2 linked regions of the Tamandua tetradactyla genome follow. The protein of the gene in region 2 binds, or shares a complex with, the protein of the main gene of each other region. Links are inferred from orthologs where the notes say so. Each region holds a gene or a part of one and is shown on either strand. Other genes may lie near its edges.

Region 1 (7,876 bases), on a different chromosome or scaffold from region 2:
GTTTTGTTGCTCAGATGTGGCCTTTCCCTGTAAGCTAACTCGGCAGGTGAACTCACCACCTCCCGAGGGTGTGAACCTCCCTGGCAATGTGGGAGCTGGGACACAGCATCATGGGATTGAGAAAGCCTTCTTGGCCTAAAAGGGGAAGAGAGAAATGAGACAAAATAAAGTTTCAGTGGCTGAGAGATTTTGAACAGTCAAAAGGTTATCCTGGAGGTTATTCTTATGCATACAGATATTCCTTTTTAGCTTGTGGTGTATTGGGGTGGCTAGAGGGAAGTACCTGAAACTGTTGAACTGTGTTCCAGTAGCCTTTGCTCGTGAAGATAATTATATAACTATACAGCTTTTATAATGTGATGATGTGATTGTGGAAACCTACTGGTTGATTCTCCCTTTGTCCAGGATATGGACAGATGGGTAAAAAATAAGGACAATAAATAAATAAATGATGGGTAGAAAGGGGATAAGGGGTAAAAAAAAAAAAAAAAAAAAAAAGGTTGTATCTTCTTTATCCCTAGCATTTCATTCAGTATCTGGCACAAAGTAAATGTTCAATAAATGTTTATAAAATTGAAAAAAAATTTTAAAATATCTAGAATATAGGTAACCAGAAGATACAGTGAAGACAAAGAATAGGGAACTGATGCTTAATTTGTGCAGAATTTTTAAATAAAGGTGACTGTTATATTTGGAAACAGATAGAGATGATGATAGTACATTATTATAAGTGTGTAAGTAACAGTGCTGAATCATGTGTGTGATAATGGTTGAAAGGGGAAGTTTAGGGTCATGTATATCAGTAGAAGGAAAGCTCGAGGATGAAACAAGGGGCTGACATTATAACATAGTGAATCCAGTTGTGGATGATGAATGTGGTTAATAGTACTGTTCTAGTTTGCTAGCTGCTGGAATGCAATATACCAGAAATGGAATGGCTTTTAAAAAGGGGAATTTAATGAGTTGCTAGTTTACAGTTCTAAGGCCGAGAAAATGTCCCGATTAAAACAAGTCTATAGAAATATCCAATCTAAGGCATCCAGGGAAAGATACCTTGGTTCAAGAAGGCCAGTGAAGTTCAGGGTTCCTCTCTCAAGTGAGAAGGCACATGGCGAACACAGTCAGGACTTCTGTCAGCTGGAAGGGCACATGGCGAACACAGCGTCATCTGCTGGCTTTCTCTCCTGGCTTCCTATTTCGTGAAGCTCCCCGGGAGGTGTCTTCCTTCTTCATCTCCAAAGGTCGCTGGCTGGTGGACTCTGTTTTGTAGTGTTGCTCTCTCTGAATCTCTCTGAATCTCTCATTCTCCAAAATGTTTCCTCTTTTTATAGGACTTCAGAAACTAATCAAGACCCACTCAAATGGGTGGAGACATGTCATACCCTAATCCAGTTTAACAACCATTCTTAACTAAATCACATCAACCAGGGAGATGATCTCATTACAGTTTCAAATGTACAGTATTGAATAGGGATTATTCTACCTTTAAGAAATGGGACTTATATTAAAACATGGCTTTTCTTAGGGGACATGCTTCCTTTCAAACCAGCACAAGTACAAATACAAGAATGTTCTTCCATGAATTAGAACAATACATGTCAAAACTGCAAGATGTTGGTAATAGGGTGGTACATGGGAAAAAAATTTACCTAATGCAAATTATAGTCTGTTAATAGTAGCATAATGTTCCTCCATCTATTGTGTAGCAAAGGTACGCACTGAAGCTGAGTGTCATTAATGGCGGAGGGGGGAGATAAGGGATATAGGGTTTTCTTTTGGGAACTATGAACTATGAAAATGTTCTCAAATTGATTGTGGTAATGTAAGTACAGCTCTGTGATTATACTGAGTGCTATTGATTGTACACTTTGGATGGACTATATGGTGTATGAATAAAACTGTATTAAAAAAAAGGCTAAAATATAATCCACAGAATGGGAGAAGATATTTGACAATAATCTGATAAAGGTCTTGTATCTAAAATACATGTAGAAGTTATACAAGTCAGTAATAAAAAGACCAATGAGCCAAGGATCTGAATAGACATTTCTCCCAAAAAGATACACAAATGGCCAAGAAGCACATGAAAAAAAAGCTCAGCATCATTAGCCACCAGGGAAGTGCAAATCACAATTGCAGTATGTACCACTCCACAATCACTAGGATGACTATAATCAGAAAGACAGGTAATAGCAAGTGTTGGTGAGAATGTGGAGCAATTTAAACCTTTATACATTGGTGAAAATATAAAATGACACAGCCACTTTGAAAAACTGGCAGTTCTTCAAAAGATTAAACTAAGCATAGAATTGCAATACAAGCCAGCAACTCCACTTCCAGGTATCTACCCAAGAGAAATGAAAATGTGTCTGTATCTATATGTCCACATAAAAACTTGTACATGAATGTGTATAGTAGCATTATTCCTAATGGCCAGAAAGTAAAAATAACCTGTGTCCATCAATAGGTGAATGAATAAATAAAAGAAATGTTGTCTGTCTATCTAATAGAATATTATTCAGTGGTAGAAAGGGACTAAGTACTCTTCTGTGCTACAAAGTGGATGAACCTTGCAAATATGGTAACAAAAGACCATGTATTTTAGGATTCCATTTATGTGAAATGTCCAGATTAGACAAATCTATAAAGGCATACAGTAGATGCAGAGATTCAGAGTCGCCTAGGATTAGGAAGTTGGGGATAAATGGGGAATGACTACTAATGGATACAGGTTTTCTTTTTGGGGTGATGAAAATATTCTAAAATTGATTGTGGTAGTTGTTTGGGGAGGGGGTCCCAAAGCACCCAGTAGAAAAATGGACCCATGGAACAAGGAAGGGAAATACAGAGCAGCCTAACCTCCCAGGTTTTCCAGGCCAGCTTGACACATTCCACCATGCACCACTGGAACCAGTACTTCCTGCCAGGACTGACACATAGGACAAAGCACATATTTCATTGTGGCCTTTTCTCTCCTACAAGAAATATATAGTGGCTTCTTGTTGCAACCTAAGCCAACTAAACCCGGCATCTGGGGCCCTCTCTCTGTGACCTTGGCTTTGTGTGAGGAGCTTTGAAATCAGTACTGTGAAGTGGCTCTCACCTCCACCTTGTGCTGGTCGAGTTACCTTGGACAAGTTATTTAATCTTTATCAACCACAGTTTACTCACCATTAAAACAAAGATAATGCTACTGACTTTAAGGGGAGTTTGTGAAAATTAAATTAGATGTCTATGTCAGATGCTTATCACTTGGCAGACGTGTAATAAATGTTAGGTTGTTCCTCTCTTCCCAGCCAGGAATCATCCGATCCAGAGTTGGCCTGGGGCCTCCCCTTCCTGTGGTAATCACCTTCCCCCACACTCTGGGTCCCTTGGCTCCAGGCACCCTGACCTTGCTTTGTGTTCTCTATACCAGTCATAGCCAGACATCCAGAGCCTATATTTCTGGGTTTTAAACCTTTTCAGGCAAGGGTAATAGTGATGAGTCCCTGTCACTTTTGCCTAGCCCTTGGCCTTTTACTGCTTTGTGTTGTTTTTTGTTGTTTTACCTTAAATCTGTCTTCTAAATTGCAAACTTGATTTGAACACTTTATATCTTTATTTTCACTTTCTTTGGATCTTCCCAGTGCTTAGTTTAATGCTGGTCATGGATTAGGCTCTGAGGGAGCTGACTTGGCAGCTGACCACCAACTACTGCAGTAGCCTCTGCGCACTCAGTGGAGCAAGCAGGGTCATTGAAGCTCTAGGAGTGCAGTCCCCTAGTCAAGGTGCAGTCCTTTTTTCTGCCTTCCAAACCCTGAGAAGGTAGGGTGGATTGAAGAAGGAAAGAACCTCATCTTGTCTCCTTCCAGTAGCAGTATCCCAGCTTGGCTTCTGATCCTAAGACGCTGTTTCTAGAAGAGGGGGGCCCTCCTTTCTCCTTTCTCTGTTGGGAAGTGTACTGAGCATTTATTGAACGTTCTTTCTCTTCCAGCAGATGGCTCTGCTATCTCAGATTTGACCTTTCCCATTACGAGAACCCCTAGTCCCGTGTTCCCGAGCTCCCTACTTTAACGATCCTTGAACTGGATATACCGTTTTCTTAAAAAATCCTCCTCTTTCCTTGAGCAGAGGAAAGAAATGTGTGTGTGTTGTGTATGTGGATTAAGTTAGATTTAATGAAATTTCTGGGGATAACCTGAATTCTGTGTTCATCTAACAAATGTTGAAGTGCCTGATCTATGCCAGGAATTGTCCTAAATGTTGGAGAAAGAAAGCTAAGCATCATGCAGCTCATCTTATATTTGCTTTTAATTTCATCAAGGAGAAATTATCTGAACAATTAAAATTCTACCCAGAAACCAGACTTAGTAAACCTGTCTTGGAGAGCTGCTCAAGGAAGTTTTTAAAAGAGAATGTGCAGCTTGAACGTTATTTTAATTGTTTAACATGTTTAACATGACTGTCTAATGACCAGTTTTTTTCTCTAGACATGAGAATTTTGCTGCTTGATTTTGACCCTGTTCAGTTAATCAAGTTTATAATCTCCCAGATTGATAATTTGGAAGATGTAAACCAGTAACATTAAAAATACAATTTGACTTTTCTTTTTATGTTATTTAGGTCATTGCTTAGAGAAACTTCTGTACGGCCCCCCAGCATCTGATGAAATTAGTGAATAAGCCAGTCAACCATGTCTTACACTCCGGGAATTGGTGGGGACCCTGCCCAGCTGGCCCAGCGCATCTCTTCCAACATCCAGAAGATCACACAGTGCTGTGAGTTGATTTTTAAATGACTTCCTTGTTTGTTTTTAATTTTTAACTGAAATTGGTGAAGGTTCATAAATAGGCAAGTGTAGTGCTGAGGGAGGGAGCAGCACACCATTGGCAAGAAAGGAGACCAAGAGGCTTACTTCAATGGATGAAGCAGGTATACTGTGCTAGGAAAGATAAGCTGTATTTAGTAAGAGGATGTCTTGAGTTGAGAGTCATCTTCTCTGGAATGACAGTACTCAGGCTACAGAAGCACCAAGTAAAGATTGAGGGGTTGCAGATTGTGTATGAACTTGAGCTGGAAAGAAGGAAGGGTTAGCTGAAACCAGGCTGCACTCCCTGAGAAAGTGATCAGTTGGTCCAACTAGATGAGAAGTGATAAGTTGGGGTAGAGTTGAATATTCATGGCATGTTGTGACAGCTTGTATGAGATGACATCACAATCTGGGGCAGCTTTGGTGTGTGGGAAGATGAAGATTCACCACTGTCCTGCATGAAGCGCTGTAGAGCAGGCTGGGAGCACTCTGCCAACAGGAGCTTCGATCACTGCCTTCTGATATCTGTGTACTGTCATTTGTGAAACAGAACTGTGTCCTGCATGGACTTAAAGGCCTCCACAGTTGAACAGAAGCTGCAGAGAAGGAAGTGTTTTTTAATCTTCCCAGTTGTTGGGGGTGGAATTACCTGGCTCAGGAGAGGTGAGATTTCTGTTACTAAAGTGACTAATATTATAGAATAGCCAGGTAATTCTTAGGTCTGTAATTAAGAATTTTAAATATTGGCATTATGGTTCAGAATAAATGTCCTTAATTTTGAGACTCTATTTTATCCATTCAACAAGCATTTTATTGAGCACCTCCTATTTGCTGAGCAGTACCCCACACATTGGGAGTACAGTAGTAAACAAGTTCCACAAGGCCCTGCTCTCATTTTATGTACAGTAAAGTGAGGAGAAACAGATAGTAAACAATTAATGAACAGCACAGTTTCCTTAGAAGAAAATGAAGTGGAGATAATGTGGAAGTGAGTGAGTGGGGGAACTGCCTGCGCTTAGTTGGGCCCCTGAATGAGGGTGAGAAAGGCTGGTGGTGAGAAGACAAAGAGAAAGGGCATTTCTGATGGAGTAAATAACTAGTATTAAAAACATTAAAACAGAACAAAGCTGGGGCGTTCAGAGACAGAAAGGCCAGTGTGGCCAGAGAACAAACCAGAGGGGCCGGAGATGGCAAGAGAGGAGCCTGGGGCCCATTATTGTGGGAGTGTGGGGAGTTTGTGCTTGATTTTTTGAGGCAATGGAAATCTAGCAGCAGGTTTTAACTAGGGCAGGGAGGAGAGTTTTGTTTTATCTGAATAAATTTTGAAATGCCTTTTAGACATCTAAGTCAGATATCTAGCTTAGATATGTGAATTTGCATTCAGGTGTCATCAGAGTATTAATGGTATTGAAAACCACAAGTCTAAGATAATCACAAGAGCAGGAGTGTTAAAGATGGTAGAATTCAAAGAGTCAGAAGGAAGCCAGCAAAATGAATCTGAGAAGATGTGACCAGTAAGGTAGGAAGAAAATCAGGGATTTCTGGGAATCAAAAAGTGAGGGTGTTTCAAAAGTAGGTGAGGCATCATCTGGGTCTTGCTGCTGAGAGGCAAAGGTAGAAGCAGAGAGTTAGATTTGGAAAATTGAGATCACTGGTGACTTTGAAAAGAGTGGTCTCAGAGCCATGTTCCAAGAGATTTCTCAGAATTCCACCCACCTCTGCTTCTGCTCTTGGCCGGATCCAGTCACATAGGAACACCTAGCTGCAAAGAGGCCTGAAAATATCTTATAGCTGGATTGCAATGTGCTCACTAAAGTGAGGATTTGCTTCATTTGAGTGAAAAGGGAAGAATCAGCATTTCTTAGGCAACTAGCAGATTCTACCTAGGAGGTGGAAGGAGGGTCAGAGAAAGGATTGTATTTTCTACCACGAAAGGGAAATACTATAATGTTTGTGTTTAGTGAAAATGACCCAAAAGAAAGGGAGAAGTTAGGAAAACAAAAAAAAAGTGAGCGTTTCATTGTGAAAGGAATGTCATTGAAGGTGAGAAGGGGCAAGGAATAATGGAAAACAAATGAGTGGTTCACCTTTCATCCCTCTACAGAGGTGAGGCAGAGGATGGGGGGCAAGAGTTTTTGTGCCAACAGGTCCAGTTTAGTCATTGGACAGAGAATGAGAGGGAGGGACATTGAAAGTTTACAGGAGAGGAGAAAGTGGAGAAGTCAAATCACGTGTAGATTTGATTATTGAGAGAGCTAACAGATCGAGGAAGCAGAGAAGGTTCTTGGCAGGTTGTGTATTCATTTAAGATTTAGTATTGTGAATTTAGTGAAGCCAGTCAGCACTGGGTATTTTTTCTGATTCTGAGACAGTGTCTAGATGAATGGAAGGTTAGCTATAGATAAAGTTATTGTTAAAACTATCACCCACCATTCCAGCGTGCATCACTGGTAAGTGATTTGCAGAACTCAGGTGGAAGTGAAAGGCAGATACAAAATTTCAGTTCATTTTTTCTCCCCTTTAGTGATGCTAATAATAGTGGATATGATTGAATGAAATGACACTTTGCACCGCATTTGGTTCTTCTCTTCACACTACATTTGCGTTTTTAAAATTTGTGTACAAATTAGTAGATTTTACAAAAGAAATCTTGGCATGATACTGTAATATCATACCCTTAGAGTTAGAATATGTGCATCTCTTCACCTAAAGCTAAAGTCTTGCTGAGTAATGCAAAAGTCTTGCTGAGTAATGCATTGGGCAAGTGTTATTTTCTTACTAGATTTCATTAAGATAAGTGAAAACTTGTAATACGTTGAATTGTATTACTTTATACGAAAAAGAAACTAGCAATCAGAAAGAATTTTGATTCTTGGAAAAGTCCAAGAATAACAATATTTAAAGTTGAAATTTTGTTTTCTTTTACTAGTATTATATATTGAACGTTCTTTGTTTGCAAAGAAAAAGGTAAATAAAACAAGGTTATTTTTAAACTTAAGTATTTCTTTTTTGTCAAACCACTTTTGTTAAAAAAAAATGTAAAGCCTTATTAATTTATTTCATTAGTATATTAGTTTCTTAAAT
Region 2 (7,028 bases):
GAATACAAAAGTTAGACAAACCTGGACATGAAAGTTAAGTACTTAAAATAATGGAGCATAAGAAACCAGCCCATGGGATAGAAAAACTAGTTTCAACAAAATTTTATTAAGCTTAATACAACCTCTACATCAATGCAGTGAGATGGAAATATGACATCAGGCATACATTTTGTTCAAAACAAGGAACAGAAGGCCTGGAATTAAAGTAGGCAAAATGTATCTTTAAAATGATAGGAAATGCTTCAACAAAAGAAACAAAAACAAAACAAAAATGATAGCAAATGCTTCAAAGAAGGCATTTAACCAAAGTCATTTCTATAATTTGCTACATTTCCTCTGGTCTGATAACCAGTTCTAAACCTGTACTCCTAGTACTAACCAGACTTTCATGTAAAAGGAAATCTATCCAAAACAATATTAACGACCAAACATCTGACACACCTGATCATCCCCCCACTAGCTCTATACTAGCTGAACTCTTCCGCAAGGAGGAAGAGTGAAAGAGAAAGAAATAGTCGCAAGAACAGTTTCTTACAACTGCAATATGAGAAAAAAAAATTCTTCCAAAGAATGCATGTTTTCCCAATATCAGAAGAGGCAGTGGCCCTGAACAGCGCAGCTCATGTCCCTACTTGACAGAAACTCCACAACTTTACACCTACCCTCATCATTAAACATCAATGGAATGTAGTCTCTCTGACAAGCAAAGTTCTTCTCAAACATCCCTAACTACCCCTCTGTTTAAATAACTCCAGTAGTAGAAACCTGTCACTACTTAACCATGCCCATGAATTCAAAGACTGAACTCTAGTTCTCACTACTCAGGAAGAGGCCTGAGGGGGCCTCAGTGACCACAGGGCTCTTCATCATGCTCACAGACCCTCCTGTGCTTCTTGTCCCTACAAGAGCAGCAACTCAACTCAGATCAGCATGATGTTAATACACTGGTGATTGCAGAGGTAGAGGGGCCCTCCAAAAACCAAAACTGCGGTCTTCAAACCACAGCTCCACAAGTGGTAGCTCAGGAAGTGTCTGGGCAAGATTGCGGGGGAGGGAGAGGGAGAATAGCCTGGTTTCCCTTCCTTTCACCTCAACCTGAGAAGCTCCCATTTGATCTGTCAGACCTAGAGGGTAATGCGGTTTTCAGTCTCTTGCTGTTTAAGGGGAAAAAAAAAAAAAGAAGGGGACCTACAGGTAAAGAAATTGTGGTGATAGTTGCTGAATAAGCCTTAAGTGGCTAATAGTTGCAGGGTTAAGAGGACAACCAAGTCCCTTGGCTCCTTCTCTAGTGCTCCTTCTCCACTAAGATCAGATTGCCTACGTGTAAAGTTCAAGTTCAGCAGTCATATACAAGGTCCTTCAAGAACTGCCCCTACCTGTCATTCCAGGCCAAATTTCCTGGGGGTCCCACATTCCAGCCACACTCAAATGCTTATCAAACCAGCTGATGTTAGTTTGGCACCTACCTCAGTGACTTTGTGCATACTGTTCTCTCAACCTGAGAGGCCTTTCCCTACTCTGTCTGTCCTGGAACCAGCCAACTACTCTTTCGAGATTGATTTCAGACATCATCACCTCTTTTAAGCCTTTCCCAGCCCTCAGGCAGAACTGACCACCTTCCTTTGTGTCTTAGCCTTCTGTCACAACATCTACTAAGCTTTATGGCACTTATTTTTGTTTATATGCCTATCTCCTCTACTACTCCTTTTACATCATGCCACTCAAACCAGTGCTTTGGTCTGGATGTACTCATCTGGTCCACTTTCTCTTCTGATGCCTAACTGTCCTCTGCAACTGCCAGTCTTAATTCATGAATACATATATTCATTCAAAAACATCAAGTGTTCACAAAATGCTAAGTATTGGACTGTGTGCTAAGCAGAGGTGGACTTATCAGGAAGCTAATGAACCTGAGGTTTCAGGGACTCCCACATGCACTTTCCAAAGCCCTTAGGCTACTTTTTCCTTCTTCTTTTTTTTTTTTTTTTTTGGTAATTTCTTATTTGTATTTCTGAAAAAGGGCAGATAAAATTGTATAAATAAAAACTAGATCCAACCTTGGTGCCAAGGATACAAAAGTGAACAAAGATTTTCTCTCTCCTTATGGTGTTTCCTGTTTAGTTAGAAAGACAGGCAGCCATTTGTTCATTCATTCATTCATTCATTCAACATTTAGTAAGCAATGCTATGGGCCATTCCGAGATGAAGCCAACAGTTTCTGCCCTAAAGGAGAAAGCCCCTGCTCTTATGAACGAAAGGCTGCTGTGTTCAGGTAACAGTAAGTAGTTTAGACGACTAGAACATGGAATATTTGTGAAAGATTATCCAAAACCAGTTTCGAGATGTGCTTAGCTTTACCACGCTCCTGAAATACTGGGGAAGGCAAGGGGAGGGGAGGACTCAGCTGAAAGAAACGTGGTCTTTGATCTCAATGCGAGGGAGGCGGAACCAGACAAGCAAAAAGAGGCAAATACAGTGTAGTCAGGGCTGCGTCGGGGAAGCAAAGGACTGTCCGCCGTGCCCGCGAACTCATTTTTTCACAAAGCAAACATTGCACTTAGAGGTTGCCGAGTGCCTTCTTCTTCCAAAGAGAAATCTGCTTCCTAGACTTCCCCAATACTTACATCCAGTCCCCCATATAAGGCTGCTCCTTTCTGAAGGCAGCTGTCCGCACTCATACCCAACTCTCCGGTTGAGACACCCCCACCCCCACCCCCACCCCGCGGTGAGACCACATCTTTCAGGCGTTTCCTCCGCACAATGCTAACCCGACAGGGTCTCACCGCTAAGTCGCGGGTCCGCCTCCCTCGTCCGCCCGCCGTCTCCATAGCAACCAGCTCACCACTTCGCGGGCCCGACTGGCAAAGTCGCCCTTGGCCCGGGAGCTCCGGCGGAACAGCTCGTCGCGGCTGCCATCAGCCCCGCCGCCCACTGCCACTCCCAGCGCCTTGTTCCGCGTCTTCACGGTCTTGACGCTGGCCCGAAACAGCAGCGTGATGTCCACCGCCATGGCGACCCACAACCGTGGCCGCCACCCGACCCGCTCACGTCAGCAGCCGGCGACCGCGACGCGAGCCTGGCAGCCGGAGGGCAGTTCCCGGCCCGCACACTTCCGCCCGGCAACCGCGGCGCGGGGAGAAAGGTTCCGGGCTCGGGCTGCGCGCTGGAAAACGCCCCTTTCTCCTCCCGGCAAACCCTGGCCGCCTTGGCAACGCCAGGGGGGCCGGGGACCCCGAGTCCCCTGTACCCCAGGAAGCAGGAAGGCTTGCTCCCTTCTCGTGGCTTCCGCATTGAGCGAGCCGGGCCATGTGGGCCTCGCTGGAGGGACCATAAGGGGAGCTGGCCTTGACATTTGACCTCGAGGAATATGCGGGAATGCACGTGGATTTTGACCCTCTGGAAGCATGGAGGGCAGATTGGTGGCTGAGGCTCGGACATAGAGGCCAGAGGCCGTTTTTCTCCAGCCTTCATTATCGTAGCTGTGAGATGAAGCCAGCCCCCAACTTCAGTATTATTGTGAAAATTAAATGATATAGTGTACTGTGTAGGGCTACTTGGCCCCTTATAATGGCCAATAAATATTACTTGCAGCTTGCCCTCGCCCAGCACAACCCCGAGACCAAAGACCACGCCAGGCAGAAAATTATTTATGCGTTTTAAAGGAGAAAAATTTCTCCCAATGGTTGGGAAATGGAAGTCAGCATTTTGTGCAAAGGGAAGAGGAGTGCCAAGAGGATGGCTTCTAAGGTTCAGCAGACTCTTGCGAGAAGTCGTTACAAGTAGTTTCAGCAGAGTCCTGGGAGGGTTGATTACCACTAGTGATTAAGGGAGGGGAGTTTTAATAAATGTCACCCAGGCTGCTACATGTTTCCGTAGTGGAGGGGGAGGTCCCGACCCCTGGGTTGCCACAATCCACTGCCCCTGAAGTAGTATGCATCCATATTCCACAAAAACAGTGTAAGAGGCTACAGAACATTAGGAGGTCCACAAACTGATGCTGTCAGGCCAAGAAAGGGAGTTACATTATTCTACTAATAACTGATAAAAACCTGTGATTTCATTCGTTCGTGAGAAGATTCTTTTCTAGATTTTCCAATGTTCTGAATTCTGTCAGGCCAGCAGGGTATTCCATGCAGTTCATTCCCAGGGGTCACAGTCCAAGGCAAGCTGGTAACACCCAGCAGTGGCAGTTCAGCACACACTCAGCATTGAGATTTATCGTGCATGTAGGTTACCACAGAAGCCTGTTGCAGAAAGGTATTTGCTGCGATGCTAAGGGCAAAAAGAACATAAGCCAACTTTCCACTAGCAGACAAATACTACATCTTTTCCCCTTGCGATTGCAGGAGCTTTCTGTGGTCAGATTCACAATTAGCCTGAACATACTACGTGATAACAGAGTCCTACATACTGTGCCTTGGGATATGAAGGGTCTCGGGTTGGTTACATATACAGCTTTGGCCTTTTGTGTATAAACTATGGCCTAACTCATTAATTTTGGGTGACCCCAATACCCCATGGGCTTAGGATTCCCAACCAGTGCGACTACATCATCCAGGACCATGGCCAATTGACCTTATTTTCCCCAGTTTCTAATGCTTGTAGTGCAGCAAAAGCAAGTTATTTTCATTACCTTGTTATATCTGTAGTGTTGCTGGTCTTTTTTGTACCTGAATTTGCAGTATCTGCACGGGCCCTACCATTACCAGTTCAGCAGGGGCGAGGGCAGCTGCTCTGGGTCCTGAATCAAGGCTGAGGAGGACTGGATACAACTGACACGCCCAGTGTTGCAGAGATTGTTTGTTATCGTTTAATCACTCTTTTAAAAGCCCATCATTACCATGTGACTTGGCAATCCCTTTTCTGGGAATAGTCCCCCAAAGAATTGAAAGCAGAGACTTGAACAGGTACTTGTACACCAATGTTTACAGCTACATTATTTACAATAGCCTAAAGAAGCCAGAAACTTTGGATTTTTATCTTAAGTGAATGCAAGTGAATACAATAAATATATATATTTAAAAATCCCATTCATTCTTTCAATCAATCCCACTGCTGTGGGATTGTAAGTCAAATGAAATATTCATAAGATGTCACGTTAAGTAGCCAAGTTTTGGGTTAGTTGTCCAGTTAAGGGGGTCCCTCCATCAGTGTCGACATGTGTGGAGACCCCAAAGAATGCACTTGGCTTTTCTAAGCTATGTATTGTATCTCTTTGCTTAGCTTTATCTACTGGAAAAGCCAGCAGCAGTCCAGTGGCGTTATCTACAGCTGTAAAAGCTTATTTTATATATCCAGATAAGGGAAGGGGCCCAGTATAACCTACCTGCCACCCGGTGAGCAGAATCTGCTCACAGCCAGTGTGACTGAGTTGATGAGGAAGCATCCTTGAGCATCGCAGCAAACAGGAGGAGCAGATGTTCACAACTTCTTTCAGTTGCCTGGTGATGGGCAGCTGGAATTGCTGTACCAGGCTTCACAGGGTCTGGTACCCTGGGTGTTCTATTTTTTATGAAACCATTCAGCAGCCTCATGCAGTGTTGGCCTTCGGCTATGAATTTTTCCTAATTCAATATTGCCAGGTAAAGAATTAGTGTTATGGGCAAAGATATGAAACACAGTTACCTTTCACTTGTGATAGTCCAGATATCTGGCCACATTTCTTTTCCCCAAAGGGATGGCCAACAACAGTCCATTTCTCTTGCTTCTACATGGCCATCCACATTGTCAGACCTCGGTACATGGCCCAATTGTCAGCACAAATAGTTATCCCATCTCCAAGTTCGTGAAAATGACCATCCATACATCCCTTAATTCAGCGCATGATAGTCCCAGTTTCCCACCCCATAGTGTGTTTGTACTAGGTTACACAGTGTGCTTGCTTGAAACTGTTATGTGCCCCAGAAAAGCCATGTTCTTCTAATCCAGTCTTGGGCATGCTGACCTCTTGGGGGTAGGATCTTTTGATTGACTTGTTTCCATGGAGGTATAACCCACCCAATTCAAGGTGGGTCTTAATCCTTTTACTAGCGTCTTCGATGAAGAGAATAAAAGGCAGAAAGCATAGAGAGAGCTCAGAACTGATACAGAGAGCAGAGAAATGGCAGATGCTTGGTGACAGAATTGCCCCGGAGATGCTATGCAAGGTCCCACAGAACCTGGAGGACCCAGAACCTGGAGAGAGCCAACTGAAGCTAAGGGGTGAAATGCAGAGTTTGCCCCAGAGAAGCTAAGAGAGGGCCCACAGATGCTTAGAAAGAGAAAGCAATGAACTGGGAGCAAGGACTAGCAGACACCAGTCAGGTGTCTTTGCAGCTGACAGAGGTGTATCAGTTGCTGAAAACCTTTCTTGAGTGAAGTTATCCTTTTGTTGATAAATCCATTGGGGCATTTTCACAGCTTTAGAACTGTAAATTTATAACCTGATAAATTTCTTTTGTAGAAGCCAGTCCATTTCTGGTAGATTGCATTCTGGCAGCTTCAGCAAACCAAAGCACATGCCTACTGCTATCCAGGTGGCAGGCTGCACGTGTGCTCCTCCGTCCGTATACCAGGCAGACTCAGGTATACTGCCACATCCATCAACAGTGGGCACAGAGACAGCCACCTCGGGAGGATCAGCAGGGAGGGGTAAGTGTTGTTCTTCCACATAGGAAACTGATCTCAGGATATCATGCATTTTACACTTGTGAAGCTGTTGTTGAAATGCTGTGCTGCTGCAGAGAAGCTTTCCCCTTTGTCAATGTGATTAACTGTGTACTGCCAGAGTAAGGCTTAGAGGCAATGTCCCGAATCCACCCCTGTATGGGGGATGGCTGTTCTTAATTTCACAGAGTATTTCTGAGTTAGTCCTTCTACTTGCAGTAAGGCATTATAGGCTGCACACAGTTGTTTTTCTAAAGGGCTGTGTGCCGGTTTGAAATTATTATGTACCGTAGAAAAGCCAATCTTGCCAGAGAAATTTCTTTTAATCCTGATTCAATATTGTGTGTAGAAGCTTTTGATTAGATTATCTCCATGGAGCTGTG

What was found. The genes of interacting proteins can lie anywhere in the genome.
Region 1: STX18 (region 2) and STX7 share a complex: the UniProt entries of both Homo sapiens proteins name them as parts of the SNARE complex. The link is inferred for Tamandua tetradactyla from reciprocal best matches to the Homo sapiens genes STX18 and STX7.

The regions. Positions count from the first base shown.
Region 1 is NC_135351.1:32,621,642-32,629,517, reverse strand, and holds the start of STX7 (syntaxin-7), read left to right. Parts: upstream 1-4,775; 5' UTR 4,776-5,355; coding exon 5,356-5,455; intron 5,456-7,876. UniProt on the Homo sapiens protein: May be involved in protein trafficking from the plasma membrane to the early endosome (EE) as well as in homotypic fusion of endocytic organelles. Mediates the endocytic trafficking from early endosomes to late endosomes and lysosomes.
Region 2 is NC_135345.1:8,488,973-8,496,000, reverse strand, and holds the start of STX18 (syntaxin-18), read right to left. Parts: upstream 3,096-7,028; 5' UTR 3,011-3,095; coding exon 2,843-3,010; intron 1-2,842. UniProt on the Homo sapiens protein: Syntaxin that may be involved in targeting and fusion of Golgi-derived retrograde transport vesicles with the ER.